4 linked regions of the Elephas maximus indicus genome follow. The protein of the gene in region 1 interacts with the protein of each later gene in a biochemical or structural test. Links are inferred from orthologs where the notes say so. Each region holds a gene or a part of one and is shown in the gene's direction. Other genes may lie near its edges.

The links.
Region 2: the proteins of PLCG1 (region 1) and FGFR1 form a complex in vitro, tested with the Homo sapiens proteins (4 studies listed by BioGRID and IntAct, with this or other methods). The link is inferred for Elephas maximus indicus from reciprocal best matches to the Homo sapiens genes PLCG1 and FGFR1.
Region 3: the proteins of PLCG1 (region 1) and BAG3 form a complex in vitro, tested with the Homo sapiens proteins (2 studies listed by BioGRID). The link is inferred for Elephas maximus indicus from reciprocal best matches to the Homo sapiens genes PLCG1 and BAG3.
Region 4: the proteins of PLCG1 (region 1) and ITK form a complex in vitro, tested with the Homo sapiens proteins (2 studies listed by BioGRID, with this or other methods). The link is inferred for Elephas maximus indicus from reciprocal best matches to the Homo sapiens genes PLCG1 and ITK.

Annotation. Positions count from the first base shown.
Region 1 is NC_064843.1:28,313,596-28,321,162, reverse strand, and holds the start of PLCG1 (1-phosphatidylinositol 4,5-bisphosphate phosphodiesterase gamma-1), read left to right. Parts: upstream 1-4,567; 5' UTR 4,568-4,627; intron 4,628-5,141; 5' UTR 5,142-5,251; coding exon 5,252-5,468; intron 5,469-7,567. UniProt on the Homo sapiens protein: Mediates the production of the second messenger molecules diacylglycerol (DAG) and inositol 1,4,5-trisphosphate (IP3). Plays an important role in the regulation of intracellular signaling cascades.
Region 2 is NC_064840.1:62,286,749-62,294,578, forward strand, and holds the start of FGFR1 (fibroblast growth factor receptor 1), read left to right. Parts: upstream 1-4,826; 5' UTR 4,827-5,483; intron 5,484-5,490; exon of another isoform or gene 5,491-5,778; intron 5,779-7,830. UniProt on the Homo sapiens protein: Tyrosine-protein kinase that acts as a cell-surface receptor for fibroblast growth factors and plays an essential role in the regulation of embryonic development, cell proliferation, differentiation and migration.
Region 3 is NC_064834.1:70,242,033-70,249,824, forward strand, and holds the start of BAG3 (BAG family molecular chaperone regulator 3), read left to right. Parts: upstream 1-4,788; 5' UTR 4,789-5,230; coding exon 5,231-5,416; intron 5,417-7,792. UniProt on the Homo sapiens protein: Co-chaperone and adapter protein that connects different classes of molecular chaperones including heat shock proteins 70 (HSP70s), e.g. HSPA1A/HSP70 or HSPA8/HSC70, and small heat shock proteins (sHSPs), e.g. HSPB8.
Region 4 is NC_064820.1:173,658,420-173,666,368, forward strand, and holds the start of ITK (tyrosine-protein kinase ITK/TSK), read left to right. Parts: upstream 1-4,943; 5' UTR 4,944-5,114; coding exon 5,115-5,252; intron 5,253-7,949. UniProt on the Homo sapiens protein: Tyrosine kinase that plays an essential role in regulation of the adaptive immune response. Regulates the development, function and differentiation of conventional T-cells and nonconventional NKT-cells.

The DNA of each region.
Region 1 (7,567 bases):
CAGAGCCAAGACCACAGGTTGTAGGGTGGAGCTCAAGGTGGATTGAGGTGAGTACACTGGCTGTGTGCTGAGTAAGGTGCAGGCTGACAAACGCAGGGAGAAGCAAGTGAGGCATCTAACATGAAACTGCTGAGTAAAAATTAAAGAGTTCAAAGGATCAGATTAGACACTGCAAGTCTATAAATCTGCATACCCTAGATTGCGGAAGGAGCTTCACTGAGCATTTCTTTCGTATTATTCCCTCCCAAAGTCATTACAAGGAACAGACAAATGAAGACTCTTTAGTGTTTGCTGTTTATCTGTTGAAAACATTCTCCACTAGTTCAACCAAATAAATGTCCATTCGAGAAACTGGTTTTATAACTTAACCGCAGGAAAATTTTTCTCCCCCAAGGAAGAGAAAACTTTTTGCCTTGGCTGCCAGGAAGCTCAAGCCACATCTGATTCTCACAGTAGTCATGTTAACCTATATGGTTATCTTCTTCCTTCTTACGATCTCATATCCAATTTCTGTACTGTAGTATTTTTGTCCTTTCTTTTAAATGCTCAACTTTTAAAGGGCTAGAAAATAATACATTTGTGGTGGGCATAGCAATGTACCACCCAGATCGCTGTTCAAGCAAGGACTTGTTGCCCCAACTGCTGGGAAAGCTGTCAGCAGATAACCTTTAGCTGTTAGCTCCTCTAAGATCACCTCAGCTGCAGAGAGCTGTCTTGCCAAGGTTGTGCTTTTCCCAGGATAGTCCACATCCAGTGACTGAGGCTGAGCTACATGAGTTGGAATCAACTCGACAACTACAACAATAAAGGCTCCCTGTGGGGTTGGCTCACTGTTGTCAGACTTACGTTACAGCTTAATTTCTCCCTCTGCCCACTCCTGTTTCCTTCCTCTCCCTTCCACAGTGTTGATCCCAAGGGCACTCTTTAATAAACATTTGGCACACTAACCTCTGTCATAGAGCCAGCTTCTAGAAGAACTCAACCTGCAGCAGCATTTAACAAAACTATAAATAGAAAACAGATCAGGTAGTGTTAGGGAAAGAAAGGAGGATACAATAAAATGTCCATATTACATGGGAGGCAACATAGCATTGACTAGAGCCAGAGTGCCTGGCTTTGAATTATTAGCTGTGTGACCTTGGGCATGTCTCTTAACCTCTCTGTGCCTCTGTGTTTTCTCGTTTGTGACACGGGGACATTAGTATTTAAAGGGTTGTAATGAGGAGTAAATAAACCAATGTGAGTAATGCAGTTATGTGGTGCTTGCTTTGCATCAAGTACTATTCGGAGTGTTAAGTAAAACAAATACCTGTGAGGCCAAGTTCACAAGACAGAAGGGCAGCTGGGCTAGGACTCCTCCCCAGACTCCGGACACAGACATTGGTGTAGGCAGGGCATGTTGAAGCATGAGTGTTCACAGAAATAGGACCAAGCAGGTCTAGCCTGGTGATGTCAGAGCCGTGTGCCTGTGTGGGTGCTGGGGCTGTTCCCTCCCAGCAGGCACAACTGCATATACTGCCAGTAACACCCACGCACCCATATATATATGCTGAGCTGGGAGAAGCCCATACCGGCCACGCCCTCTGCGCTGCGCCCTGCTTTTCCAGAACCTCCTTTGGTGGAGGGAGGCAGCTGAGTCCTGGGGTGCTGGCCCAGAAGTCCCAGGAGGAAATGAAATGGGGCCCTGGCAGCAGATCGAAAACATGATCTGTTGGCAGAGATTTGTGGAGCCCCCATGGGCCAAACTCCAGAGGCGAAAGCAAGAGCAGGGAAGCCTGGGTTTCACGTTTGGGAAGCTCCCAGAAAATAGAGAACCAGATATTTAAGGCATATCACAGCCCACAAGAACCCTGGTGGTGTAGTGGTTAAGAGCTCGGCTGCTGACCAAAAGGTCAGCAGTTCCAATCCACCAGCCGCTCCTTGGAAACCCTATGGGGAAGTTCTACTGTGTCCTACAGAGTCTCTATGAGTTGGAACCAACTCAACGGCACATAACAGCCCACAGGTTGCCCGAGTCAGCACAGGGGCCTCCTGGAAAAATGGACAAGAACTGGATAGGCATGGAGGAGCCCCATTTGGCTCCCACCTTTCTTCCTGGTCTCCTCATCCCCGACACTCTCCCTCATTCACTAGACTCTAGCCTTCTTTCTATTTTTAAACTCACCATGTTCTTTCTGGCCTCTGGGCCTTTGTACGTGCTGTTCCCTCTGTCTGGAAAACACTTTCCCCCAACACACCCTAATAATTCATCGGGCCATCAGCTCACGTCCTTTAGACTTCCACTGAGTCCTAAAGAGGTCTTCCCTATCTACTTGGTCTGAAGTAGGTCTCTTTAATGTTTTATTCCATAGTCTCCCGTCCTTTTCCTCTGTAGCCCTCATATATTGCCCTTATGTGATAAAGTATTCGTTTAATGTCTGAACTCCTGGAGGGCTGTTGTGGTTGAGTCCTTCCCCATCCGTCAGCTAGTGGCCTCAGTGCCTGGCACAGGAAAACTCAGGGACTGCATTCAGGGGCCCACCCAGTGCCGTCAAGTCGGCAGGACCTCATTAAGACCAAGCAAGCCAAGCCATACTCTGTGAGCACCCATGTTCTGTGGGGTACCCTGTGCTTAAGGCCGGTGTGGGCATGCCTCCTTACCCACACTGATTAGCCAGCTAGCCTCCATGCCCACTGACTACTAACCACCAGGGCCTAATTAAGCCAATGGCTCTCTTGGGAGGCAGAAAACGCATGGAATCAGGCAAACTTGGGTTCAAATGCAAAGTACCCCACTTGTTACATGGTTTTCTCTGGGCAAATTGCAGACCTTCTCTCAGTCTCCTTATCAGTAAAATGGGGACAAAAGTCCCCAGTTAGAGGGTAGTTGTGAGATTAGGTGTGACCACATGTGCAAGGCACTGGGTCAGCTTTAGTTCCCTGCCTTCCACTTTAAAGGCCCATAGCTAGGTGGCAGTCCATCTCAGCTGCCGCATCTCCCCTTAGGTGCTGAAGCTAGGTGAACCTATTAGGACAAAGCTTCCCAACTTCATGCTGGAATTCTGAGCTTCTTAGTGGCCGTGCTCGAGGGAATTAAACACACACTACTGCAAAAGAGTTACTGTTTCTGCAAGACCTGGCAGCCCAGACCTACCCAGCTCAGCTATTGGAGTACGACTGTGGATTGCCTGAGCACACAACCTCACATACTCACAAATTGCAGTATAGGTTTATAGTCTCACAAATTCCAGGTAACCTGGATCTCTCTCTGGCATCAGCTGTGTATGCTGGGCCTCACACTCTGAAGTGCAGTAAGTTGACCTGCTCTGCCCGGCTGCTGACCATCTGCCTCGCTCAATATCTGTATGAGAGACTCTACTGTGACCGTATGTGTCCTCAGTTCTGGTGGCATTCTGTGACAGTGGCAGCTAAAGTGCAGAGAAGGAGGTGGTGGTCTCGGGAACAGCTTTAGGAAGACAGTGTGAGTTCTTCAAATAATCACAAAAAGCACTGTGGCTGGAGAATGGAGAGTGAAAAGGGACGGTGAGACAAAGTGGGGACAGATCATAGGAGACATTCCAGGCCAAGTAGGGGGTGTGGATTTTAAGTCCAATGGGAAATCCAGGGGTTTTAGGTCAGATATAGAGGAGGATGATATAACTTAAAGATTAATCTATGGAGAATAGAGGCAGAGGGCAAGAGTAGAAGCATGCAAGATCAATGGGTAAAATAGGAGAGAAAGATGGTGGCTTGGGCTTGTGGGTGGAGTGGAGAGAAATCTGAGGGAAGAGCGAACAGGACTTGCTGATGGATTGATGTGGGGTTGACACAGAAGGAGGGATCAAGGATGTCACCAAGGTTTTGGCCAAAGCAACTCAGAAGAGTTTACTGCCATTTTCTGAGAAAGTGACCACTGTGGAAGAGCAATTTGGAAGGTGAGGTGCCTGTGTTGAGAGATGTGGGGCAGGCAGTGGGATGCTTGGCCCTGGAGAGCAGCAGAGATACAGATTTGATGTCACGGTGTCTGGGTGGTGGTTGGAGCCCTGGGAAAAGTCAGGTACCTTGGGAACTGACTCAGACTTGAGCCTACAGAAAGAGAAGCTTCTGAGGCCAACAGGGAGCAGCTAGAGAGGGAGGTGGAAAACGAGTAGAGTCCGGCGGGAAGGCCAGAGCTCAGGCAGGACCTGGGCCCTCGCCCTGACTCTGACCGGGGACCTGTCCCGCTGGGACGGAGCGGGGGGTAGGACGAGCTGTAGTCGTTGAGGGACAGACGCAGGCCTCTGGACAGTGCGGCCGCGGGACCACAGGCCCTGCCGGGGATGCTAGGCCCGGGGGACTTGTCCAAATGGGGGTACCCTTGAGCGCCACACTGGCCGCAGGGGCGGGACAGATGTGGGACTGCCGGTCTTAACAGCGGCCTGCGGACCAGCCCCGCGCGGACAGAGGGGAGGGGGCGGGACATGCCTGCTGTCCATCAGTGCCTGCCGGCCAATCTGCAGGCGGCTCCGCCCCGCCCCCCCGGGAGGGCGCGCGGAGAACCCGCCTCCGCCGCCGTCGCCGCCGCCGCCGCCGCCGCCGCCGCCGCCGCCGCCGCGGGTGTAAGGCGGCCCGGCTTGGCCTGGCTCCCTCCGCCGGGCAGCCCGCCCAGGTAACTGGGCTAGGCCGGGCGGGCCGGGGGGCGCTCGACATCCCCACAGCTCTAACGCGGCGTCGCGCGGGCGGTGCTTGGGGCGCGGGGGTGGGGCGCGGGGCTGAGGAAAGGGCTGCGGTTGGGCCTGTGCGGGACAGCGGGCTGGGCGGCCTCCCGCGCGGGTGCGACTGACGGCCGGCGCGGGGCCTGCAGCCTGTGGGCGGGGCCGCCAGCGTGCCGGGGCCGGCCGCGGCGGGCAGGCTGTGTCCGGCGCCGCGCGGGGCGCTCTGCGGGGCCGAGGAGCCGGCGGACTGACGGGGGGCGGCGCGCGCCCCCGCGGCCCTCGAGCCCCGCCCCCGCCTGGGGCCTGCCCGGGGGTCGCGGGGCGCAGGCGCGGCGGGCGGGGGTCCTCCCCACGGGCGCGCGGGCGCCTTTGTTCCCGGCGCGCGGGCGGGGCGGGGCCTGCACGAGCCGCCCCGCCCCGCCTCAGGCCCCGCCCCGCCTCCGGCCCCGCCCCCGTCTCCGCCCGCAGGAGCCTCGGGTCCCGCTCGCCGGCCGCCTCAGCCGCCTCGGCCGCCGCCACCTCCGGCTCCGGGCCGCCGGGCCTGCGCCGCCGCCGCCGCCGCCCCCAGAGCCGGAGCCATGGCCGGCGTCGCGTCCCCCTGCGCCAATGGCTGCGGGCCCGGCGCGCCCTCGGACGCCGAGGTGCTGCACCTCTGCCGCAGCCTCGAGGTGGGCACCGTCATGACTTTGTTCTACTCCAAGAAGTCGCAGCGGCCGGAGCGGAAGACTTTCCAGGTCAAGCTGGAGACGCGGCAGATCACGTGGAGCCGCGGCGCGGACAAGATCGAGGGGGCCAGTAAGTGCGCCCCCTCCCCGGCCCGGCGCGCGCGGGGTGGCCAGGTCCGGCCCGGCCCCGCGCGCCCCGACGCAGCTCGCGGGACTCGGGCAAACTTTCGGGCCTTCCTCCAGCCCCCGCCCCGCCCCCGCCCCCGCCGCGTCTCCGGTGGTCACCGGGGGCGGGGGGCATCCGGGCCTCGGTCACCTGACAGGACACCCCCTCCCCCAGCTGGGGGGAGTGTTCCAGGCTCTTTGCCCGGAGGCCTAAAAATCCTAGCGAGTCGCAGCCCAGCGGCGCAGGCAGCGGGCCCCCCAGCCCAGGGGGGCGGTGTTGGCGCAGCGAGGGGCGGCAAGGCGGCGTCCCCCACCCCGCGGAAAACCTGGGACCCGAGCAGACGGTCACCGCCCACCACTCTCTCCAGAAAGAGCGGGCTTTAGGAAACTCTCTGGGCCCTCTGGCTGGGCTCTTGTTTGAAAGAGGCACCGTGGGGTTCCTTAAGTAGAACTTCTGCAGATGTTGGGGTCGGCCTGGTTGGGGGGCAGAGCCAGGCCTACTCATCACCCTCTTGGGAAGAGGGAGGAAGGTGGTCTTGTTTGGTTTGAAAACGCCTGAGAGAAGTCCGTGGCCGCTCTTTTCTGCTGGTTCTTTTGTCCTGAAGCTGAGTTTTGGAGGCTTGTGTGGGTCAGTAGAACCCACTGCCAGGACACAGACTTTTGGTAAAGGGGCCAGTTTCCCTTGCCCTTGGGAGCACGTTCCCTGAGTGCAGTGGTGTCAGGTACTCATCTCAGTAGTGCTCAGCCAGGTTGGGAACTAGCCCTTTGTGTCACTCATCCTGTGTCCGGTGGAAGCAGGGAACGGGGAAGGGCTACTCTTGGTTTCCTGCCTCTTTGCCATCCTTAAACCTGGGCTTGGCTCCTTTTCATCAGGTCTCTGGTGAGAGGAGGGAGGTGGGGGATTTCGAGAAACCCCACATCTTTCAGAGTGTTACCCCACTTAACGGGTGCCCGTGCACACTCAGCTCAGCCCTCCATTCCCCCGCCTCCAAGTGTGAAGAGATGATGTGTCTACAACTGTAGACCGTGGGTTGCTTCCTGCCAGGACCCCCCAGAGGCTGTTGTTGGAGAGATCGGGGCTCAAAACTAAGTCCGGGTGGAGGAAGGGGTCAGGAAGTGACACCCCCAAGGGAGGCCCTGATAGATCTTCTGAGTATGGTGTACATGCGTTTAGATGTTTTAGGAGATTGGGAGGAAGGAAAGTGTGGTGACGGAGCCAACCTCAACTAAAAACTCCAGATCTGACATAGCCGTTTGAACTAAGAAGTGGTGGCCTCTTCCCTTATGCCTCCATCTGCCCTGTCAGCCATTGGGAACTCTTTTTTTTTTTTTTTTTTTTTAATGATTTGGAAGACTAGATTCCAAAGTGGAGGAAGGACAGACACAGCAAAGAACAGGGATAGCCCTGGGAACATCCCTCAGGCATCAGACTCCATGCTTCTGTGATGTTCCCTGTGCTGTGTTGAATTGGTGGCACTGGCTGGAGGTTCCCAGGTAGAGATCTCCTGGGTAACAGGCTGCATTTTAAACCATACGAGTGACCAGCGGGCAGTTAAATGTAGCAGAGTGATTGCAATGCCCGGTTTGAAGCTCAAAGCTAGTTTTGCGTTCCCCTGCCAGTTACCTTCTCTGAGCCTTAGTTTCCTCATCTGTAAAAAGGGAGATAGCAATATGTCCATCGTATATGGTTTCTCTGGAATTAAATGAGATAATTGATTTAAAACATCTAGCACAGTGCCTGACACATTGTAACTGTAGTAAATGTGAGTTGTTACTAATAACAATAACAATAATAGTCTACACTGTCCTCCCAGGTTCTGGGAGGTAGAGTATGGATGCAAGAGAGCCTGAGGGTGCAGGAAGGGAGGATGGGGGACCAAGTTCACATTTCCCCTAAATCGCTACCCTGAAAAACGGAGGAAATGACTTTGTTTTGCCCCAACCCACCCACCCACTCACCTACTACAAAGAACAGTGTTTCTGTAGGAAAGTATTTGGAGTTTTGCACATCTGACTACTGGGTGTGACTTTCTTGTTTGTAAATTGGGGCCCAAACAGAAAGCA
Region 2 (7,830 bases), on another chromosome or scaffold:
AGTGGGAAAATACACCCTTTTCTGTCACAGGCTTCTGGGGACAAAGAATCCAAGGGAGTGAATGGATAGTAAAACCACAAAGACAACTGGAAAATAGGTTCCAGACGAGGTCTCTCGGGCCAAAGCAACGTTCTTGGGCTAAAAAATAACAACTGGCTACCACTTATTGAGCACTTAAAATCTATGTGCCAGTCACTGTGCCAAGTGTGTTACATGCATTATCTCATTTAATTCTTTGATTAATTCAGAACTTTAATTCAGAACTATTGTTATCCTCGTTTCACCATCCAGGAAACTGAGAGGAGTTAAGTAACTTGCCATAGATCACATAGTCAGTATGAAGAAGCAGAATCAGAATTGATACCCAGAATCTGTTTGACTCCAGAGACCAAGTTCATCCTTTCAGAGGAAGACAACTCAGAAGCTTCAATCCCTCCACACGTACTCTCTAGTCTTAAAGTCAGTTGCCTTCCAGTTGATTTCAACTCATGACGACCCCATGTGTGTCACAGTAGAACTTTCTTCCAAGGAGCCTCTGGCTGGACTTGAACCTCCAACCTTTTGGTTAGCAGCAGAGCATGTTAAGTGTTTGCACCACCCAGGGACTCCTCTCTAGTCTTGCCTTCCTCAGTTACCCAAGATGAGTTTGTAGATTTTCACATCATTTGTCATCCTTTAGGATTCAGACACCACTTCCCTGAGCCATCTCCTTTTCCACCAGGCCTCCTGACCTCTCCTCCCAGAAAACCCTGCACGTGCATCTGGGTGGCACTACCTATAACATTTGGTTTCTCCAACAAGACCTCCTTGAGATGGTGCCCTTGTCTCTTACATGTTTGGATCTATTGTGCCCAGCACAGTGCCTGACACACAACAAGTGTTCCCCCTCCCCATGCTTGGTGAGTAAATGTACCATTAGGATCAGACAAGCTGAACTGCTGCTGTTGCTGGCTCCGCTTCCCGCTCCCAGTTGGTAGGAGAGAGTGAAATGTTATTTACAAAAACACCAAGCCAAACAAGACCCTCCCTTCCCTGACATGCTGAAGCTGTGCTAGGAACAGCCAGGGGTCACCAAATGGTGGCCAGATGGTAACTGACGGCTGCTCCCTAACTCCAGGGGCCTGGGGCAAAAGCCTTTGCCGCCCACCTGCTCCCAGGGACCTGTGAATGATCCACTTCTTAGGGAAAACACAGACAGTCCCCTCCTCCTGAATCCCCTTCTGCAACCCGCTCTCAGAGCTGAGCCTGCCAGTTGCCAACCTGTCTAAGGAACCTCTAGCCTTGGGCTAGAGCAGAACCATGGCCCAACCTCGCCCAGTACAGATGTCCCTGGCCTCCCCCCACCTCCTTAGTGGTGAGGTCTTCACTCTGCAGTACCTACCCGGTGTAGTAGGGTGCTCGTCCCTGATGGGGGCTGCTGGAGCCTAATGAAATAACCAAATTCGGAGCAGGGGTGCATTGGGACAGTGGGAGTATGGCGAGAGAGGAGAACTACCTCTCGGTGGAAGAACTTCGAGGACACAAGTAGCCTGAAGAAGACGGGAGGGATTTTCTGCAAGTGTTCCCAAACAAAGAGAACTGAACAGGCTTTGGGGAGAGCTCTCTTTCCCTTGGTTTCATTCAGCACCATTCCCCTCCCGCCTCAGATCCGGGAGGCAACAGGCCCCCAACTGGTTATCAGGTCCTCGAGCATGAGGGCCTTTTGTCTCCCCCTCAGACATCTAGCTGGCAGGGCAAGGGGCCTACAAATCCTCCCTGACCCTCCCAGCTCTTTGTTATCTCAGAGGGAAGATTACATTTCTGTGTGGGGAGGCAAGGTGCCAGGAACCCTCAGTGCAGGACAGGCGGGCAGAGCTGCCGTCTGACCCGTGCTGCCTGGGGCGGTTCAAGCGGCCCTGGGGATGCTCTCCTCCACTGGCCCGGGGCCTTTCTTCCTGGGACTGAAGTGCAGGGTCTGCATTTCAGAAAGAGAAGGAGGGGAGTGGCACGGATGAGGAGCGGGACCAGAATGATAAAAGCAGTCAGCTCTCAATTATTCAGGAGCCCTGTCTGCGGTCAGTGTATCCCTCCATTAGTTTCTGGATTCTTCACCTCCATTCCTTCCAGCCGTATCTGACTGTTCCCCTAAAAACTCGGGGAGAGAGAGCTATCAAGTTGGCTACTTGCTTCATTTTGGTTTCTTGCTAAAACTGTAGAGGAATTTGTTGGGCGGCAGGCCTATGTGCCTCAACACCAATCAGACAAGACATCTAGATCATTCTGTTTAAATCCAGGACTCATTCTTCAGCCTCCTCTTTTGGGTTCAAAGCACTCCCCAAACGCTTCCAAATTAAAATGAAAGAAAAAAAAAAAAGAGCTCGATTTAAAATCTCATGAGCTTTTTTTTGTTTGTTTGTTTTAAAAGAATCATAAGGAGGAAGGATGATACTCTCTCTTTCAGGGATAAAGTGGGAAAATAGTAGTTGTGTGTTAATATTAAATTCTGGATTTTCCATGACTTATCTTCTCGATCATATTCCCTCAAATTGTATTTCCTCTTGTGCTAACCCAGATTTGTTACCCTCATCAAGTCCATCAACAACAAATATGTATAAAAAGTCTCCTGAGTACAGACTCCTAAGCTAGACTTGATACATAAAAGGGATCCTTGCTCTAGAACAGTTCAGAAGCTAGCTAGACAGAACACAGAGTAAAAAAAAAAAAAGACAACTAACAAAGGCTATTTTAAGTATCAAATGAGTGGGTTATACCGGAAGGTCAGTAGGAGTGCCAAGGATTGAATGGGGCTGGGAACGGCAAAGGAGGTGTCTCTGAGTGGAGAGGAGTGTGAGTTTGGCCTTCTTACAGATGGATGAGCATTATTTTAAAAGCCGAAGGACTAATGGGTGGACAGCTTATATGGAAAAGTAAATGTAACCTGTCCAGGAGCTGGAGGGCTGAAGGGATGAAGGGGTGAAAAACCTGTAAACAATGGCTGAAGTCCATTTATTCCACCAATAGGTGCTTTCCTGCCATTTAGTTTTTGATTTATTCATTTATTTAACAAATATGTACTGAATATTTACTCTTCGGTCAGTCAGTACACATTTATTGAGTGCCTAATTTTTTTTTTTTTTTACTATGTAGATGATGTTGTGTTGGTCACTATTCTTTCACCTGCTGGTCAAATGGAGAAATAACCTAGGGACTCATTCCTTTGTTTGGGAAGCCCAATCTCGCTCTATATCCGAACCTTTAATGACCTTGTGGATTGGGGTGGAGTGGAGGTGAGAGAACAGGCCCTGCCATTAACTTACGTAGTTATTTCTATTTGTGTTAACACTTTGGGTGCCCTGACTGTCATTATTTTATTTGATTTCGTGACAACCTTGTGAAGGAGTCCCGACAGATACCTCTGTCTCATTTTTTTCAGACAGCTGACTTGCCCAAGCTCAAATAGTTCACAAGTGGAGGACCTGAAATCAGGTCTCCTTCATACCCAATAAGGCCTACCTTCCACCCTCCCAGTGGCCCCCAACCTGGCCTCACATCACAGGCACCATGGGAGCCTCAGAAAAAAATACAGATTCCTGACTCCTTGGAGCCTCTGAGTAGGTCCAAAAATTTATATTTTTAAAAGTTCCTCAGAGAACTCATGTACATTTGGATTAGGCAACTACTAGATAATACCAAAGGAGTCCTGGTGGCAGAATTGGTTAAGCGCTCGGCTGCTAACCAAAAGGTCGACAGTTTGAACTCACCAGCAGCTCCGCAGGAGAAAGATGTGGCAGTCTGCTTCTGTAAAAGATTATAGCTTTGGAAACCCTATAGGGCGGTTCTACTCCATCCTATAGGGTCACTATGAGTTGGAAGCGACTTGAGGGCACACAGCAGATTGTATCACTCTGTTGCAGAACCCAAGGGAAAGAACGTTTTAGCCACCTTTTCTGGGGTTCCTTACAGCAATGCAGGGTGCGGCATGGGTGAGCTCTGATTAATTTCCAAAACAACACTCATTTTTTGCTTTCTAACATTCCCAGCAGGCCCAAGAATGGCGCTGTAGAGTTTACAGGGCCAACTTCCCGTGGGCCACAAAACCGAAGGGAAGTGATTGGGGAAAGTGAGATTGAAGGGAAGGCGGGGATTGACCTTCACATGAATTAAAAAAAGAAAAAGTTTTGTATTTATTGAGTGTTAACTATGTGCACATAGCTATGTCCTAGGCTCTAAACCTAAAACCAAACCCGTTGCCATCAAGTTGATTCTGACTTGGAGTGGCCCTATAGGACTGAGTAGAACTGTCCCGTAGGGTTTTCTCGGCTTTACAGAAGCACCCTGCGCGGAGCGGCTGGTGGGTTCCAAGCGCCGACCTTTCAGTTAGCAACTGAGCGCGTAACCACTGTATCACCAGGATTCCTAGCTCAAAACCTACATCTCATTTAATGCTCAGCTCTATATGTAAAGTACTGTTATTATTTCCCCTTTTACAGATGGGAAAATCGAGAGTTAGAGTGAGTAAATCATTTCCCCAAGTCACACATTCAGACTCCAAAACCTATGCTGTCAGGGACAACTTCAGGGTTATCCCGTCAAACCACCTCACTCCCCAAACTGCCAGTCTGCCCATGGCCTGAAATACGGGCGCCTTACTCCCCATGCTCGGCTGGAAGGGCGCGGGCGCCAAAGGAGACCAGACTTCAGAAAAGGAAGGCAGGAGTGCCGGCCAGCTCAGTCCCGCTGCCCCCTTCTCCGGGGCTGCGGCTGAGAACTACAAGGCCCAGCAGGCAGCTGCAGGGGGCGGAGGAGGAGGTGGGACTAGCGGGGTGTGGGAGTGTGAGAGCCCTCGCGCCTCGCCGGCGCACAGCGCTCGGAGCGCTCCTGCGGGCACTGGTGCGGAGGGCTCGGCAGCCGGCGGCGGCGAGCAAGAGTGGGAGCCCCGGTCCAGCCGCAGCGCCGGAGGAACCCGGGCCGTGCCCGGAGCGGGGCGGCAACGTCCGGACAGCACCGAGACTCTGCTTAGCGCATTGCGGCGACCTCGCCTACCCCAGCGGCGAGCTCGCGCCGCAGCTGGAAAAGCAGCCGAGACCGAGGACTTTTCTCCGGTCCGAGGGGGCGCTCCGCAGGTCGCACCGTACCAGTGCTGCAGTCGGGCACGCCGCGGCCCCCGCAGGGCGATGGAGCCCGGGCTGCAAGAAGCGTGAGCCACCGCCGCCCGGTTCGGCGGAGGGGGGGCGTAGGGTCTGGAGACCCCGGGCGGCGGACAGGAGCCCTCCCCCCTCCCCGCCTCCGGGGCACCAGCTTCGGCTCCATTGTTCCCGCCCGGGCTGGAGGCGCCGAGCACCGAGCGCCACCGGGAGCCAAGCGCCGGCCGCGGGTTTCTTGCGGCCCGGCGAGAATCCGAGCGGTGCCCGGGGGCGGCGGGCCGGAGCGGGGGACGCCGGCACCCGCCCGCCCGCACAAGCCACGGCAGACTCTCCAGAGGCGGAACCGCAGCGCCGAGTGAGGTAAGAGCCACGGCGCCCCCAGATCCGGGGCGGGCTCGGCGTCCCGAGCGGCCCCCGGCGCTGGAGCTTGCTGGCTGCGCGCTTCCCCCCACTGTAGCCCAGTCGGGTCCGGCGCCTCCCTCCACTCGTTACCCGCCCCCCCACCTCTGGGCTCTGCGCCCCTCTTTTGTCTCCCCCTCCGCCCGCGTCGCCTTCTGCGCCCCCTCCCCGCGCTGGTCCCGCCGCTCCTCCTGCTGCTCAACTTTTCCGCCAACTTGTGCTTTGGAACTGGCGAGGCGGCGGCGGCGGCGCGGCGGTGAGTCCGGAGAGGGCCAGGGCCAGGGCCGAGGCTGCGGCGGCCCTGGGGCTGCTCGACCCGGGAGGAGGGCGGGAGTGGGCAGCGAGGTGGGGTGTGTGTGTGTGTGTGCGTGAGTGTGTGTGCGTGCGTTGCATTCCACTCCATCTCATTTTGGTCCCTTCCTGGTGACTCACCCCAATCCAGCAGGTAGCCTTGGACTGAACGCTAAAAATCTGTGCTATTTCTAAGTCCTTTTCTTCCTCCGGGAAAGCCTGGGGTCGGAGTTGGGGGTGGGTGGGTAAGGCCTTGAAGAGGGAAGGAAGGGGAGGGGGCAGGATCGCTTCTCTTCGAATAGGTTTTAAGGAGGTGTCGTCACCAAATGGCTGAATCTGCTTTAGCGAAGGGCGAGGAAGGAATTCCTCTTTCCAGAGGAGGTTATCTTCTACTTAGTTTGGGGAAGGGGAGCGCACCCAGCGGGTGATGTTACATCCCATATGGGGGGAAGAGGGGAACGTTTACTTCCTATCTAGTTCTTGGAGGTGGGGGAAGGGATGAGGGTTTTCTCTTGTGAGGTTCACTCTGTAGCGATGCCTGTGACTTTTCTGGCCCAGACCCCTCTGCTCCCCGCTGCCCCCTCACGTTATGTTTGGGGTGGGGAGAAGGGGGGCTAGAACCCTTTTTTGCAGAGGAATTTATTGACGTTTTAGGTGGGGCTCATACAACACACCATGAGAAGGCAGCCAGGCACCTCTTTTTGGGGTGATGGGGTGGAGTGGGAGGGAAACCGGCATGTCCTTTCTGGGCCCAGAGCTATTAGCCCTTTAAAAACAAAACAAAACAAAACAAAAAACAGTTCTGCGGTGTCTTTCTCCCGCAACACTTTTTTTTTTTTTCCTTTTTCCGTTTTCCAGATGTAGCAGCCGCATCTGGTTCCGTTTCACCCCACACGGGTACACCGAAGCCACATTATTACCATCCTTCTTCCTCCCCTCCCCCAAATGAAAATTAGGACTCTTCAACACGTTCTTGCCACCTCCGCCCTTAAAATTTCTAGAGACTTGAGGATGAGGTGGGATTCGGGGAGAAAAGAAAGTTGTCTTGGATCCCACGTTCTTTAGTTTCAGCCGTTGGTGATGGTTGGGATGCTTTCTAGATTGTGTAGAAAAAAGAGACGTCGTGGGAGATGGGGCCAAGGTTTTGGGGGGTGGCACTTACGAATGGTTCATCTGCCAGAGAAGGCCTCTTTGGCCGTGGGTCTGACCCAAGATTGGCCCTGATGGAAGTTTCTGGAACCAAAGCATTGCTGTCTGCTTCCTTCAGTTATCGCTGGAGCTGCGAAACTGTCTGCCCCTGTCCGGAGCCCGCGGTCCCTCCGAGAAGCCGGTCTGGGGCTGCCCCAGCGATGGCAGTCACACGTCCCTTTTGCACTCAGTGTCCAGTGGCCGAGGGTGGGGGCGTGCGAAGGCGGTGGGACTGCTGCTGCCAGAGGCGCTCCCTGTGTGTTTTCAAGGAGTTATTTGGGCTGCAGCCCCCGGAAACGAAAGTGGGGCACTTGACCATTTAAATAAATAACGGCTACGGCTACAGGCTACAGGTTTGAAAGCCGGGGTTGGATTGTTGAGTTGTCCTTTTGTAATAGCCTTTGAGGCAGGAAAGCACCTTCTGGTCCAAACTTGAGAGAAGGTGGGAAGAATTGGTCTCTCTCGCCCTCTCCCTTGCAGTCTCTTTCAAATTGAAAACACTTCTCTGGTTTCCTTCTTTGGGCGGTAGTTTTGGAGGCTGTAATGAAATCGCACTTTCTCTAGACATGGTAATTAAGGTGACTGTTTCCCTCCCAGATGTGCTATGCCCTGTGCACCTCCGGACCCGTGCTTTTTTTGGAATACTGTTTAAATTGTAGAACCTTAGCCTTGAGAAGGTTTAGCAGAAAGTAGCCATTTCCCCCCCTGGGCCAATATCCCAGTTTCCTCTCTGAGGCTAGTTTAAAAGCTAAGTAGCAGGGTCCCGTGGGATGTGCCTGGGTCTAGCTAATTACCCCCAAGCCTGGGTCATCTCTCTTCCTTTCAGTGA
Region 3 (7,792 bases), on another chromosome or scaffold:
TAGTTTATGATTAAAGACCCAGATGCCTGGTACAGGGTGTACCTGCCATGTGAGGTCAGAGAGCGCAGACTTTAACTTTTAATAACAAACAGATGCAAAGTTAGTGCTGAAATCCTAAGCTCTGCTGCTCTGCCAGGTTCTGATTTTTTCACCTCTATAGTTGGAATCCACCAGGCGCTCCTTGGAAACTCTACGGGGCAGTTCTACTCTGTCCTATAGAGTCCCTATGAGTCGGAATCGACTCGACAGCAGTGGGTTTGGTTTTTGGTTTTTTTGACAGGGTGTATTTAGGGTTATCATCGAAGTCTCCATAGCATAATCAGAGCAGACATCACTTCTCTCCCAATGCACTTGACCATCAGAACATTCTAGAGAGGCCATTGCTCACATCCAGTTGGCCCTGGCCTCCCCTTGTCCAGGCTGCCCAGAGTAGAAGGGTCCACCTGGAAAGTATGCTTGGCAGCATGGGCTGGTCCCTGATAACACCCCAAAGACATGCAAAAATGACTTTCAGGTTCAGCTTGGGGTGAATGGTGCTTTCGCTCAGATTGAGGAGAACTGGCTGTTCTGCTCTGCCAGCTCATGTGTTCCACGGGAGATGGATTAAATCATCCAGATTTTCATCCAGACACTGAATGAAAGCTTTCGGGTGACATTTTCATTTAAAACTCACCATTGTAGGTGGGCTGGAGGCCCGGTCTGCGACCTGTGCTGGGACTCCGCCAGTCTCTTAAACCCTGTTCACAGGATTGATCTGTAATCCTCCATGGCAGGGCCTGTTGCTGCCCTTGTTTCTTCAGCATTGAGAAAAATATGTGCACGAACCTGGATTTTTGAATTACAGTTTTTAATTTGTTTCCCTTGGTGATGAACAGGACTAAACAATCAGGTCACGTATCATATTTATTGAGTGCCTGGCTGTGTGACTTGGAGCAGGTTACTTCACTTCTCCAAACCTTAGTTTCTTCACCTATAAAAGGAGAATCATAATAACGCCTACATCGTAAGGTTGTTGAGAGAACTGTCCTATGTTTGGTTCCCCAGGAAGCAAACGCCAAGACAAGGTAGCAAGCAGGTTGCTTATTAGGGAGTGCGGAGGGCAGGAAGCAGGATTGGGCAGAGGGAGGAGTTGAGCTGTGATGTAATCCCAAGGAAAGCCATCAGCCAGCCCTGGAGCTGGGATTGCCTTTCAGAACTATCCTTAGTTGGGACAAAGGGTCGGGGCTTTTTATACCCCTTGGTAGATCAGTCATTCCACCATCAGTTTGTCAGCTTGCCATACTGCTATGGCTTGTGTGCTGCTGTGATGCCGGAAGCTGTGTCACTAGTATTTCAAATACCAGCAGGGTCACCCATGGTGGACAGGTTTCAGTGGCACTTCCAGACTAAGACAAGGAAGAAAGGCCTGGCGATCTACTTCCAAAAATGAGCTAATGGAAACCTTATGGATCACAGCAGAATATCGTTTGATATAATGCTGGAAGATGAGCCCGCCAGGTTGGAAGGCACTACACAATAGCTGCAACAGTGGACTAAAAAATACCAACAGATCATGAGGCTAGTGCAGGACCGGGCTGTTATACACAAGGTCCTGTGAGTTGGAGCTGACTCGACCGCAAGTAACCACAACAACAGATCAGTCATTGGATGCGGGTTGCCCCTGGAAGGAGGTATGACCTTGGAAAAGGCAATTTTCTCCAGCTGAGCCAATTCTCAAAGGGGACTAACAGCTGAGAGAGGTCTTCCTGTATTGTTCTTGGCAGGTAGGGAATAAGACCCTTATTCCTGGAAGGGGATCTGGGCAGCTCATCCCAGCCTCCACCTCAAAGATGAAATGAAACAACTAACATAAAGTCCTTAACACACAGTACCTGGATTACAGTAAGCGCTCAATAAATGGTAGCCATTACAACTGTTAGCGTTGTGCTAGATGCTGGGGATACAGTGGTGATCAAGATTCCGCTCCCGCCTTCCAGAAAACTTGATCCATGAGCACATCAGATGATCCAATAAGCAATTTCCATGTGGTGTAATTGATAGGGTGGCAAAGGATTTATATGGGAGCACTTAGAAGGGACACATGACCTAGACTAGGAAGGCGGAGGTGAGTGATGTTGAAGACGATACCTGAAAATGAAGAGAAGTCAGCCAGGCAAAAGGAATGGGAGGAGCTGGAATGGGTGTGGCTCTATAGATGTAAAGATAAAAAAAAAGATGTATAAAAAAAATGTATAGGTGAATTAAATTAAGACTGACCTCAAGGCATACACTAGGCGTGGTTTTTGAATTATTCACACGTATCAGCTCACTATCCCATTCACTCAACGAGGATTTATGAAGCATCTTTATTCAATATGTCAGACAATGGACTAGGTGCTGATATCGGGATGAATGAAAGCCAACTCCTGTCTCAAGGAGCTCACAGTCCAGCAGAAGACGTCAAGGTAATTAATTCCGAACTGTTCAACAGGCTGTTAAGGCAGAGGGAAGGGCAGCGACCTCAGACTGGTGGTATGGGGCTGTTTTTCTCACAAAAAGTAGAGAAATTCTAAACAGTCAAGATTTTGAGTTAGTTGATTTGATAAGTAATCACTGAGATGGCTCCAGGCAGCAAGCTTAGACAACTCTTCCCAAGTCTCTTTCTGTAAAATTTATATTTATTGAAAGCACCGTGGCTGGGAGGTACTGTGATTCGCTCTTCGAGGAGAGACTGGATGGAGAGCAGAAATCCTCATTTGTAGAAGGGATCTATGGTCATCTGGCTACACCCTTCTGGCCTATGAAAAGTGGCTAAGGCTGACGGGAAAGTCTGAGCACAAGTCAAGTTCACTGCCCAAAACTCAGAGGATTAACACCTGAGTCTTGTTCTTATTGCTAGTTTTTTGTTCATTTGGTTCTAAGGCCTCCACTGAGCTAAATCACCTGCTTCTGGACAAAGACAAAGTCTTTTCTTATCATGAGGAATCTGTAATAAGACAGACATGCTACTCATTATTCAGCATGGCTCAGAGGGGCTTCTTCCAATCAGCTCTCCAAGACTCAGGGCTCTGCTTTAGACAAACCTATTTGAAATCCCTGGAGGACTACAAAGGAGGCCCGATGGTGCAGTGGTTAAGCGTTTGGCTGCTAATGGAAAGGTCAGCAGTTTGAACCCAACAGCCACTCTGTGAGAGAAAGATGTGGCAATCTGCTTCCCCAAAGATTTAAAGCCTTGGAAACCCTACGGGGCAGTTCTACTCTGTCCTACAGGATCCGACTATGAGTTGGAATTCGACTGAATGGCAATGGGTTTGGTGTTTGGTTTGGTGGAGTACAGTCCTCAGAAGCAGCTATGTTATTCCCAGAGGAACCTCCTTCCTCTCTGCTTCTATCAAAAAAAAAAAAAAAAAAAGGCCAGTGAAGAATGCTCTCAGTGCTTAAACTGTAGTTGTAGTGGAAAGTAAATTGAACAAATGAAGAAAATAGAAATACAAATTCACTTTGAGTTTGATTTTCAATGAACATAAACATTTATTGAATATGGGCTCTGGGCGGTGTCCTGTGTTCAGGACATCGGATGCAAGAAAGCATAAGACACTGACAGGTCAACTTGAGGGCCCAGTTTCTTCAACAGTAATTTTCTTTTGGTAAATTAATGCACTGCCATTGGGGTTTATACATCAGTCTCTTGTGTGTTTGGTTACCTGAGTCAGTGTCTGGGGTCTAATCACCTTTCTGTTTTCAGGAAAATGAGTTTTTTTTTTTTTCCCATTCAAAGCCGATAAGTATACTTTTTAAAGTGGGTATCATTCCTTTGGAAATGATTGGCAGGCCTCCTTAGGGGTCATTTGAGGGCAGGAAGAAACAAGAGGTGTTTCTGAGGGCTACAGACCTATTCTCTGAATTTGAGTTGGAAACTGGGCCTAACATTATTCCAAGGCAGCTTCTCAAACTTTCTGGGAAGGCATTGAGTCGACATGCCTAGAGGTCTAAATTGGAACCTCCTTAACATTCTCTCTGTGGGACGCAGACCTCCCAGGGGAGCCAGGGCGTTCTGTTGAAGTTACAAGTGCAACCACCATTGAATCAACCAAACAGAAAATTTTAATTGTACGTTTTGGTCTCTACTTTCCAAATGAAGGTCAAGCTTTAAGATTTCACCTTTCACTCTCCTAGCAAGAACCTCTACCATAAATAACGATCAAAACCCAAAAGAATGTGATCTTTAAAGTTATTCACCGCAATTAAAGTTTCTGTATTTGAGATATGACGTTCGAGGAGAATAAAACCATCGGCTGGAGCAATCTTTTTTCCTTCTTTAGGTTTCAGAAGGCAGGCAGGTGAGTTCCCACTGCGGCTCCATCTTCTGCCCGGCTTTGTTCAGTGTCCAATCAACGTTCCAGACCACCCCCTCCCCAAACAGCCCTCAAGCTCCATGAAAGAAAGTGATTAAAACGTAACTGAGCGACGCCCCTGTTCCCAAATACCGGTGTGTCGGTGGCGGAGGGGGGGCGGAAGGACCGTAACATCTCCAGCTCAAAACGACTTTAAAGGCTAACGATGACTTTGTTTTTATGAAAAGAAGGGGCAGCAGCCGCACGGCGCGCGGACTCCCAGTCCGGGGACACCCACGCGACGCGCAGGGGAAGGAGCGAGTCTGAAACCCGAAACCCGCCCGGGGACCCCAGGCAACGCCCTGGGGGCTCGCACGGCCTGGGTGCGCCCCGCGGCCCTCTCGGGGAGGGGTGGGGGAGGGGAGTCCGGCCTGGCCCCGCCCCGCGCGCCACGATTATAGCCGATGACTCAGGGCGGAGCTCCGCATCCAAGCCAGGCCGCCGCCAACTTCTCTGGATGGGACCAGAAGTTTCTAGCCGGCCAGTTGCTGCCTCCCTTTATCTTCTCCGTCCCCTTTGGCAGCAAGGAGGCTATTTCCAGACACTTCCACCCCTCTCCGGCCACGTCACCCCCTCCTTTAATTCATAAAGGTGCCCGGCGCCGGCCTCCCGGACACGTCGGCGGCGCAGGACTCAGGCTCCGGCGGCGGAGAGGTCCCCGCGGCGGCGGCCCAGCATTTCGGCGCCTGGAGGCCCGGCACCGCGCGAGCCCGCACCCCGCGACCCGGCACCCAGTTCTCTGGCACCCCGTGACCCGGCACCGCGCACTCCGGCACCCCGTGACCCGGCACCCCAGCACCCCGAGACCCCGCTCTCCGGCACCCCGGCGGCCGCCCTCCGGGCCGACCCCGACAAGCATGAGCGCAGCCACCCACTCGCCCATGGTGCAGATGGCGTCCGGCAACGGCGCCGGCGACCGCGACCCCCTGCCCCCGGGCTGGGAGATCAAGATCGACCCGCAGACCGGCTGGCCCTTCTTCGTGGACCACAACAGCCGCACCACGACGTGGAACGACCCGCGCGTGCCCCCCGAGGGTCCCAAGGTGAGCTGGGCCCGCGTCCCCTCCCTGGCCGGCGGCCCCACCTCGATGACAGGCGGGGCCGCAGCGCCGGGGCTGAGCCTCTGCCTGTGCCCAGGCCGGGAGGTCGGTGGAGGCCACCTCGGCGGACGCACAGCCCTCGGGGTGACAGCCCTCCCTGTCCTCCCCGGGGTCGCCCGGCCCCTCGAGCTCGTCCTGCCGCGCTTAGGGAGGCCCCTCCGGATACGCCCTTGACAGGCGTCGGGGCGAGGGCGAGGCCCCGGAGGCGACAGTCCCCACCGCGCCGCATTTAGTTTTGGGGGACGGGGGTGGCCCGGGCCCGTCCACTGGGTCGAGTCGCGAGGCGGGGCGGGGGGAGGGGGGAGCTGGCCTGGGGCCTGGTGCACCGAGGCCCCGTCCGTCAGGCCCCGCCGCAGGCGCCTCTGCCCGCCCGGCTTCTGTCCCCAGATCCTCAGCCGGGGGACCGAGGGGCCGCTCGCACACTCGGGCGGTGGTCTTGAGGACTTTGCTTCTTTAAGGCCCACAATTTGGCTGAGGGGGTCTCCTGACTTTACTCTCTCGTCTCGGGGACAGAGTGACTCAGGAGGCTGGTGTAAATACACAAGTTTTTTTTTTCTGTTTTTGAAATTGAAATTGTTTTATCGTGTGGAGTTGTTTTCAATAAGAATGTGTTCTAGTTTGACTTCTTAAAAACAGTATACTCTTAAGGCAGTTTCTACCCAAAGCCCTGAGAATGTCGCTCCTAGTTGTCCCTCGCCTTAAAACATTGCCTCACGCTGGAGAGACAGCCAATGATTTTTTTTTTTTAACGGCATACATTCCCTTACTTGTTATGCTATTAAAATGTTTAGGATTTGTTTCCAATACACAAATATAACTAAATAGTAATAATTTGGTAAGGAGCCCTGGTGGCGCAGTGGTTTAAGCGCTCAGCTGCCAACGGAAAAGTCTGCAGTTCCAACCCAGCAGCGGATCCAGTGGAGAAAGAGGGGCAGTCTGCTTCCGTAAATATTTACAGCCTTGGAAACCCTATGATGCTGTTCTACTCTGTCCTGTAGGGTCGCTATGAATCAGAATCAACTCCAGGGCAGTGGCTTAATACTCTGTGAATACCACAATATTCCTTGTTTACATACATGCAAGGATTTATACTTCTCAACCCTTAAGAGCATGAAAATTTGAAAATATAAATTTGGAATGAGTCTGTTAATTTAAAAAAATTGTAATTAAATGTGCCACTCTTGTAATTTTCTATAAATTTGAAATTTTTCAGAATAAGTTTTTGAAAAATAAATATACTTAGACAAAGGGTAATTGTTAATACTGTCTGTGCAGTGAAAAACTGGTAAATTATTTTGAAGATTTTAAAAACTCACATAAAGTTCAAAATGCTTTATAAATCAGTATTTCAGACGAAAGACCTGAATGTCCCACCTTCAGTTTTGGGCACTTTTTTGCCCACAGATACTGATAAAACTGTTGTGCCCAACAGCGAGACGTACATTCAGCAATTTACGTTTACAAGGAATTAGTTGTATATTTATTTCTGAAAATTACTCCACAAGGCTGTAATTAGCTGGAGTGGACGTAATTGTGTATACCTTTTGGTGTGCCTGTTCAGCCCCATTAATGGGTGAAATTTATGTCGCTGTCAAGCCAGTTCCTGTGACTGCAGTCAGCATGGCTGCAGAAGACCTTTAGTATGCTATAAAGCTATTATTTTGAGGCCTACTTCCTATAGAGGCCGACTCTGCCGGCAGCCTTTGTCCTGAGTGAAGATCAAGTTGGAACACACACTGTGAGTGCAGTCAGTATAAGACCCAAATTGCCAGCGCTTTGTTTTCAACATGGAACTCACCTGGCTAGTTGGGATTGCCTGCTTGCTTTGCTTCATGGACCCGCCCCTAGGGTGGATGGATTATGACTGTGGTTTCATAAAGCTTTTTAAGGGGGGGACAAGTTGAATTACTATTTCCAAAAAAATAGAAAATAAAAGCTACTGAGTCAGAAGTCTGACAATGGAAACAGAATTTTAAAGTTGAAAGGCCCTTAAAGATCGTATAGTTCAGCCTCTTTATTTTCCTGGTAAAGAAACCCAGAGAGTTACGGTAGGCTTCTCAAGGTCACTCAGCTAGTGCTAATAGCAAAGAGAGAACTATACCAAAAAGCCTCCAGTTTCTAAGAACAAAAAAATGGTTCACAGCCCTAATGAGAGAGAAGGTAGAAGTGTCTTGAATCTTTATGAAGCTGTGAAGCATGAAAGTTAAAAACTTGATTATCTTTGTGTCGTGCCATCCACCGAGTACAGGATTACCAACCTCTGTACCCTGGTTGCTCGGGATGGTGGTGACTGGATGTGATTAACTCAAGAAAAGCACC
Region 4 (7,949 bases), on another chromosome or scaffold:
TTTTAAAGCCAGAACAAAACATATGTTTATGTTTTACTGAAAGTAATGGGGAAAATATTGGACCTACCTAAGGTTGTATTTGGAAACCCTGGTGACATGGTGGTTAAGAGTTACAGCTGCTAACCAAAAGGTCGGCAGTTCAAATCCACCAGGCTCCCCTCGGAAACTCTATGGGTCAGTTCTACTCTGTCCTATAGGGTCACTATGAGTCAGAATCGACTCAATGGCAACAGGTTTCTTTTTTTTTTAAGGCTATATTTAAGGGGAAACCCTGGTGGCGTAATAGTTAAACGCTATGGCTGCTAACCAAAAGGTTGACAGTTCAAATCCACCAGGCGCTCCTTGGAAACTCTACAGGGCAGTTCTACCCTGTCCTATAGGGTCGCTATGAGTTGAAATCGACTCAATGGCACTGGGTTTGGTTTTGATTTTTTGGTATATTTAAGGAGCCCTGGTGCTGCAATGAAGAAACCCTGGTGGTACAGTGGCTAAGCACTCAGCTGCTAAGCAAAAGTTTGGTGGTTCAAACCCATCAGCTGATCTGCAGAAGAAAGATGCCGCAGTCTGCTTCTATAAAATTACAGCCTTGAAAATCCTATGGGACAGTTCTACCCTGTCCAATAGGGTCACTATGAGTCGGAATCAACTCGACAGCAATGGGTTAGGTTTGAGTTTGGTAGTGCAATGGTTAAGCACTCAGCTGCTAACTGAAAGGTCGTCGGTTCGAACCCACCAGCCAGTCCGTGGGAGAAGAGACCTGACAATCTGCTCCCATAAAGATTTCAGCCTAGGAAATCCTATGGGACAGTTCTACTGTGTCCTATAGGGTCAGTATGAGTCGAAATCAACTCAAAGGCACACAACAACAAGGTTTCATTTAGGAGTGGTGCAGTGTGATAAATTATTTAGTATGGTCTTTCTTGGCATGGTCTTATAACTCCCACCCAGGTGATTGGGCAGGGATGTGCAAATAAGATAATTGTGGCCCACTAGGGGGATTGGTTGGTTTTGCCTTAAAAAAGAGCCAATTCCAGAGCAGAGAGAAGATGAAAAACGGAAGAATGAGAAACTTTTGGTTTAGGGATGGAATGAAAAAACACCGGTGGATTTAAGTATGTTGTAATCAGTTACCCAAGGCAAAAGCTAGTCATGGGATTTAGGAAGGGTGAATCTAACTCTTGAGGAACTGGTTATTTGGATGCATATGGAAATGCAGAGTGATAAGAAGATGGAAGGAATACACAGAGTCACTATACCAAAAAGAATTGGTTGACGTTCAACCATTTCAAGAGGTAGCATACGATCAGGAACCAACAGTACTGAAGGAAGAGGTCCAAGCTCCACTGAAGGCATTGGTGAAAAACAAGGCTTCAGGAACTGATGGAATATCAATTAAGATGTTTCAACAAATGGATGCAGTGCTGAAAGTGCTCACTCATCTATGCCAAGAAATTTGGAAGACAGCTACCTGGCCAGCTGACTAGAAGAGATCCATATTTATGCTTATTCCCAAGAAAGGTGACCCAACCGAATGTGGAAATTATCAAACAATATCATTAATATCACAGGCAAGTAAAATTTTGTTGATGATCATTCAAAAACAGCTGCAGCAGTATATCGACAGGGAACTGCCAGAAATTCAGGCCAGATTCAGAAGAGGACGTGCAACCAGGGACATCATTGCTGATGTCACATGGATCCTGGCTGAAAGCACAGAATACCAGAAAGATGTTTATCTGTGTTTTATTGACTATGCAAAGGCATTCGACTGTGTGGATCATAACAAATTATGGATAACATCGTGAAGAATGGGAATTCCAGAACACTTAATTGTGCTTGTAAAAAACCTGTACATAGATCAATAGGCAGTTGTTTGGACAGAACAAGGGGATACTGCATGGTTTAAAGTCAGGAAATGTGTGCATCAGGGTTGTATCCTTTCACCATACCTATTTAATCTATATGCTGAGCAGATAATCTGAGAAGCTAGACTGTACGAGGAAGAAAGGGGCAACAGGACTGGAGGAAAACTCATTAACAACTTGTGATATGCAGATGGCACAGCCTTGCTTGCTGAAAATGAAGAAGACTTGAAGCAATTACTGATGAAGATCAAAGACCACAGCCTTCACTATGGACTACATCTCAACATAAAGAAAACAAAAATCCTCACAACTGGACCAACAAGCAACATCATGATAAACAGAGATAAGATTGGAGTTGTCAAGGATTTCATTTTACTTGGACCCACAATCAGCACCACGGTAGAAGCAATCAAGAAATCAAAAGGCGCATTGCGTTGAGCAAATCTGCTGCAAAGCACCTCTTTAAAGTGTTGAAAAGCAAAGATGTCACCCTGATGACTAAGGTGCGCCTGACCCAAGCCATGGTATTTTCAATCACATCATATGCATGTGAAAGCTGGACAATGAATAAGGAAGACCAAAGAATTGATGCCTTTGAATTGTGGTGTTGCTGAAGAATATTGAATATACCATGGACTGCCAAAAGAATGAACAAATCTGTCTGTGAAGAAGCACAACCAGAATGCTTCTTAGAAACAAAGATGGTGAGACTACATCTTACATACTTTGAACATGTTATCAGAAGGGATCAGTCTCTGGAGAAGGACATCATACTTGGTAAAGTAGAGCGTCAGGGAAAAAGAGGAACACCCTCAACAAGATGGACTGACACAGTGGCTGCGACAATGGGCTCAAGCACAAAAAGGATTGTGAGGATGGTGCAGGACCAAGCAGTGTTTTATTCTATAGTACAGAAAGTTGCTATGAGTTGGAACTGATTCAACGGCACCTAACAACGACAAAGGAAGGGCCAAACATAAGATTCCTTGGTTCTGTTATCAGTAATAGCTATAATGGCAGGGAAAAAGAATGTAGGGCCTGATTTTAGCATTGAACCAAGCCCAGATTCAGTTCAGTCAGAGCTAAGACCGCTAGTCTCAGGGCCAACCAAGGAAGGAAAAATCAGATTGGAACAACAGTTCTTCTATGACCATTATTCATCAGGAAGGTAGTCTGTGAGGAAACGGACAAAACTAAGAGGGTATAGTGTAAAGGAGTTGCTTCAATTTGTAGATCGGCATTACTAAATGAATTGGGAAAGTGGCTCATTTAGGAGCAATGTCTTTAGTTTTGAATGCTGCAGAATGGAAGAATGTGTTTGGGTTGATACAAGAGCCACAACTTACTATGGAACATTCACAAATGGCGATACTAGATGCATTTACACAGCAGGTTACCCCAGAGGAGACAGCCAGCCTGATGGACTGGATAAAATTTGCAGTGAGATTTGTTTATTCCGAGAAAAGAAACTGCCCCCTCCCCCTCTAAATACCCAATGGAACACTCCAGAGGAAGCGCCTGGTGTGCCGCTCATGGAAGTCATGCTGGAATGGCTTTATGGTGGCAGGAGGGGGAGTGCTGAGGGGAGAGGGAGTGGTTGATGTTAGAGATGATGGAGTGGTACAGCAGCTTGGAAAAGCTGGACATCTGGGACATCTTAAACCTCTGCCTTATAGGAACTAGCTTTGTGCTGATCCTTATCAAAGAAATTATTCATTTGAGCGAGCAAAACCTAACTTCTCTGAGTGAGTTCGAAGATACTATAAGAGAGAGGATAAGATGAATTCTTGATTGTATTTTACGGAGGCTTGGCAAATGAAAAACTCCCAACTATTACCACAGCTACTGACAATATTTTGCTTTTTCAGATGAGAACACTTGTATGATGTCTGTAAATCTTTTAATCTGAAACAACCAGGAATAAATCTACCCTCCCCAAAGGAGTTTATAGTTTAGTTGGGGAAGGTAGCACTGTATTAGTTAGAATGAGTTTTGCTGCTAGTGACAGAAACTTCAAAATAACAGAAGCTTAAAAATTAGAAGTTATTTTTGTTTAAGCTAAAAAAGGCTATCCGGGCCTTGCATGGAGGGTCCATGGTCATGAGGACCTTAGGGTGTTTCAATCTTGTGCTCTATTGCATGCAATTTCCACCTCATGCTGCAAGATACCTGCTCCAGATCCAGCCATCACATCCACAATCTGGTCAGCAGAAAGGAGGGAAAAGGGTGCAAAGTCTCCCACTAAGGGACATTTCCTGGATGTCATGCTCACCACTTCCACTGTGTCCCATTGGCCAGAGCACAATCACATGACTACACAAACTACAAGGGAGGCTGGGAAATGTTGTCTTTATTCTGGCTAGCCAGATGTCAGAATCAGTTACGCAGGAAGAAGGAGAGAGCACATGTTTGGGAGAAATAGCAATTCTTGTACCAGAAAAAACAAACAAAATACAACCTCTATTGGACAATGTATTTCCACATATAATATCCTAAAATCTTAGAACAAGGTTAGGGGCATCATTTACAATACTCTCCTCCTTAACTTCTCCCAGAGTGTTTTGATTATGCCGGGGCATTCAATATATGATACAAAATTAGGCTCTAGTCTAGTAATTTATATTTTTAAAAATAAAATTTAGAGATTTGAACTCCTATATGGCAGTAATGAGTCTTCTGTTTTATTATTTATCCCTGTCCAGTACATACCATCTCTGCTTACACTAAGATTTCTTGGTTCTTTACTTCTTGCTGGAAGTAGGGTTCACATACTATGTTTCAACTTACATACTAACCATAAGGCAAGATATATGACTAGTGTTATGGATTGAATTGTGTTCCTCAAAAATGTATGTCAACTTGGGTAGGCCTAATTGATTCCAGAGCCCATATTCCTACCCCTTGTGCTGTTAGATGGACTAAAGATTAAATTCTAGTCCTTAATATCATTTGAGTCTAAGGTTCTTCAAATACCATTTCCAAACCATGTAGCAAAGGGTGTAATTTTTTTTTTTCACATATACCTCTTTTGTGAATTTTGAAAGGATGTGGTTTTAGTCTTTGACATCAGGGGGAAGCTCTGCAATGCTGACTGAACCTTGATAGAAAGATAACGTTGGAGGCAAGTTGCCTTTGAACAACTCTCTGAAGATCAACGGCCTCCCCGTCGCATTCCTTGCCCAGAAGCTCTTTCCTCTGGTTGTGCTAAGGGGTGATGCCCAAGGCACATCACTTTTCAAGAATTGGATCATGAACAACTTTATCCTCCTGGAAGAACAGCTCATCAAGAAATCCCAACAGAAGAGAAGAACTTCTCCCTCGAACTTTAAAGTTCGCTTCTTTGTTTTAACCAAAACCAGCCTGGCATACTTTGAGGACCGCCATGGGGTATGTGAGCACTTTGTTTTGTCTTTCTTTGAATAGTATTTTATATTTGTACTGGGGTGATTTATATGGAATAAAATAGAAAACGGGGGACACAGACATGCTTGTCAAGAGGTGAGGTAGCTGTACATGGTGGTTTCAGTTCTAAAAATCATAGAGCTGTGAGTTGAATAGCCATCAGCTTCTTTTTCCCGCAAGGGTTAAGCTTAATTTTAAAATTATGATAATATTATACATAGCAAATGTTTTGATTAGATATAACTTGAACTTCATTTGAAATATGCTACGTGTTATGGGACATTGCTTAATAAAATATTAACATCTGATGGAAGCTGACAGATGATATTGCCCAGTTTCCTTATTTTACAGTGAAGGCAACTGGTACCAGGAATGGTTACATGATGGGTCCAGAGGCTCAGAGCCCTTGAGTAATTTGCCCACGGATTTGACAGCTAGTCAGGTGGTGGAGCCAGAATTCAAACTGTGGTAGATAAAATCAGTATTTTCTTTAATTCAACCCATTTGTGTCAACGGTCACCAGTCGCCTGACATCTTGGAATAATATTCCCTGAGCATTTAATTGAATACGGTGTTGCCCAAAATTTGCATGGCACAATGGTAAACCCCTTAAGCCCTTGGAAAACTTCCCAGGAAACTAGTATTACCAAGCAAAAAGTGACCTGTGGTGAGGACCAGCGGCTCTTATCCATAAGGTAATCGCTGCTTAGCTAAGTCAATCTTTTTGTATATCTGAAGATACTCTCACATTCTGAAACGTCAGCAATTACAGGAGCAACATGAATAATCATAACAATGTAGTTTGGTAGAAAAAGCACTGGGCAAGTGATCTGGAGACCAAACCACTTCTCACTGGATGATTGAGCCTGAGCAAGAGTCTCTTGTTCTTTCTTTCTTTAAAAAGAAAGGTCCCTTCCTTCTTTAAAAATTTCTTTTATTCAATGAAGAGGCACTTGTTTAGTACTTCTGAGCAATTCATCAATACATGTTTGATTTCTTACTATATCACTGTACTTTTTCCATTATTAGGGTGGTAGGAAAGGGGTTGTCACCTTTATTTTACTGAAGGAGAAATAACATTAGGTGCTTAATGGTCAGGTGTGGACAAAGCTGCTCTGAGTCCTTGTTGGGATCTGACTTAGTAAGTGCAGGCAGGAGGATGGGGTCTTTTGAGAGTCAGGCTTTGAAGCATTCAGTGAATGGAGTCCTGAATAAGGCTGGACAGTTATATGCAGCCTGTGGGTGATTGACCCTTTTATGCAGTAGGTGAAATAATACTGCCTTTTTTTTTTTTTTTCTTTTTTTTTAAGAGGGGATAAGACTTGCTCATCTCCTTTTCACAAAACGAGAAGCAATTCAGCAGACTCTAACTGATAACAATACCGGTCAGTCAGAAAACATATGGTGATTACTGATTATGTAGAAGGCCCCTTTGATAGGTGCTCAATAAATATTTGTTGACTAAAGGAACATAGGGCCAGTAGCCAAGTTTTGAACTTCAGAGAGTCAACATACAGAGCTGATAAATCACATGGCATCAGTCAATATTTTTCTTATTGTGAGTGGGACATCTAAGGTTCTTGTTCCATATTGAAAGAGTTATCACCGGCCTTTAAATATTCTCTTTTCAAAGTCCACGTTACAGTTTTTGCCAATTTTTTTTTTTCCTGACTCCACATAGCACCATCTCACTTGTTAGTCCTGATACTGATAACAGTTCCTAAGCAGAGAGTTCAGTGCAGTAGTATTCGTAAATAATCACAAGCCGAGTGGTCTTGATTCAGAATTTTGTTGGTTATAATTTTTCTTTAGACGATGTTGTGAAATCACTGTGCTTCATTTGAGCATTATGAAAAGTTACAGCATAATTCATTCTGTGCATGGGCGAGCCCTGGGCTAAAATCCCTAAAGTTTCCGTATAGGATATAGAAAATACATGAAAACAAAAATCAAGTTTTTTGTTTTCTAATGCCTACAGTTTATATACCTAAATAACTATTTTAAAAGCATTTCTTTAAATAGTATAGAAATTTATTGGTTAGAAATTTCTCCAAGGTCACTGAGAAAGTTAAGATAAATGAGTTATTACAGATTCATGTCCTAATTATCTCCCATTGTTTAGGGCCACCGATTTGCACAAAGAAGTGCACTGTGCATTCCCCAGAAAAAGCAATAACGTAATATTTATGAGAAGGAACTTTTTATTTTGAAATTAAAGCCTCAGTCTTCTGATCTGTAAATGGGTGTGATGAGAGTACCCACGTCATGATAAAATGATAAAGTTGAAGAGAGAGAATGTACTTAGGCTGAACTATTTGAAAGTACCATTTCATAGATAGAAATGGTTAGATATAGGCAATTTTATATAGCTCAACTTAATATATAAAGTACAAGCAATCCTTGTTATTCACGGTAACTCTGTTCTATGAAATTACTGTGAACACGGAATTAGTGACCACCTATAACAGTTTTTTTTTTTTTTATAACAGCATATGGTTTCTCCATAGGGTACATCACAGTCTTCTTGCGCTTAGGAACACTAGATAGCACTTTAGCACTACCCTTCGGGGCCATTTTAAACAGAGAAATCACCGACAAAAAGTACAAACATGGAGAAAACATGACATTAATTATACCACAATAAGGACATTTGTTTGCAATATGAGAGTGGAAACCAGAAGG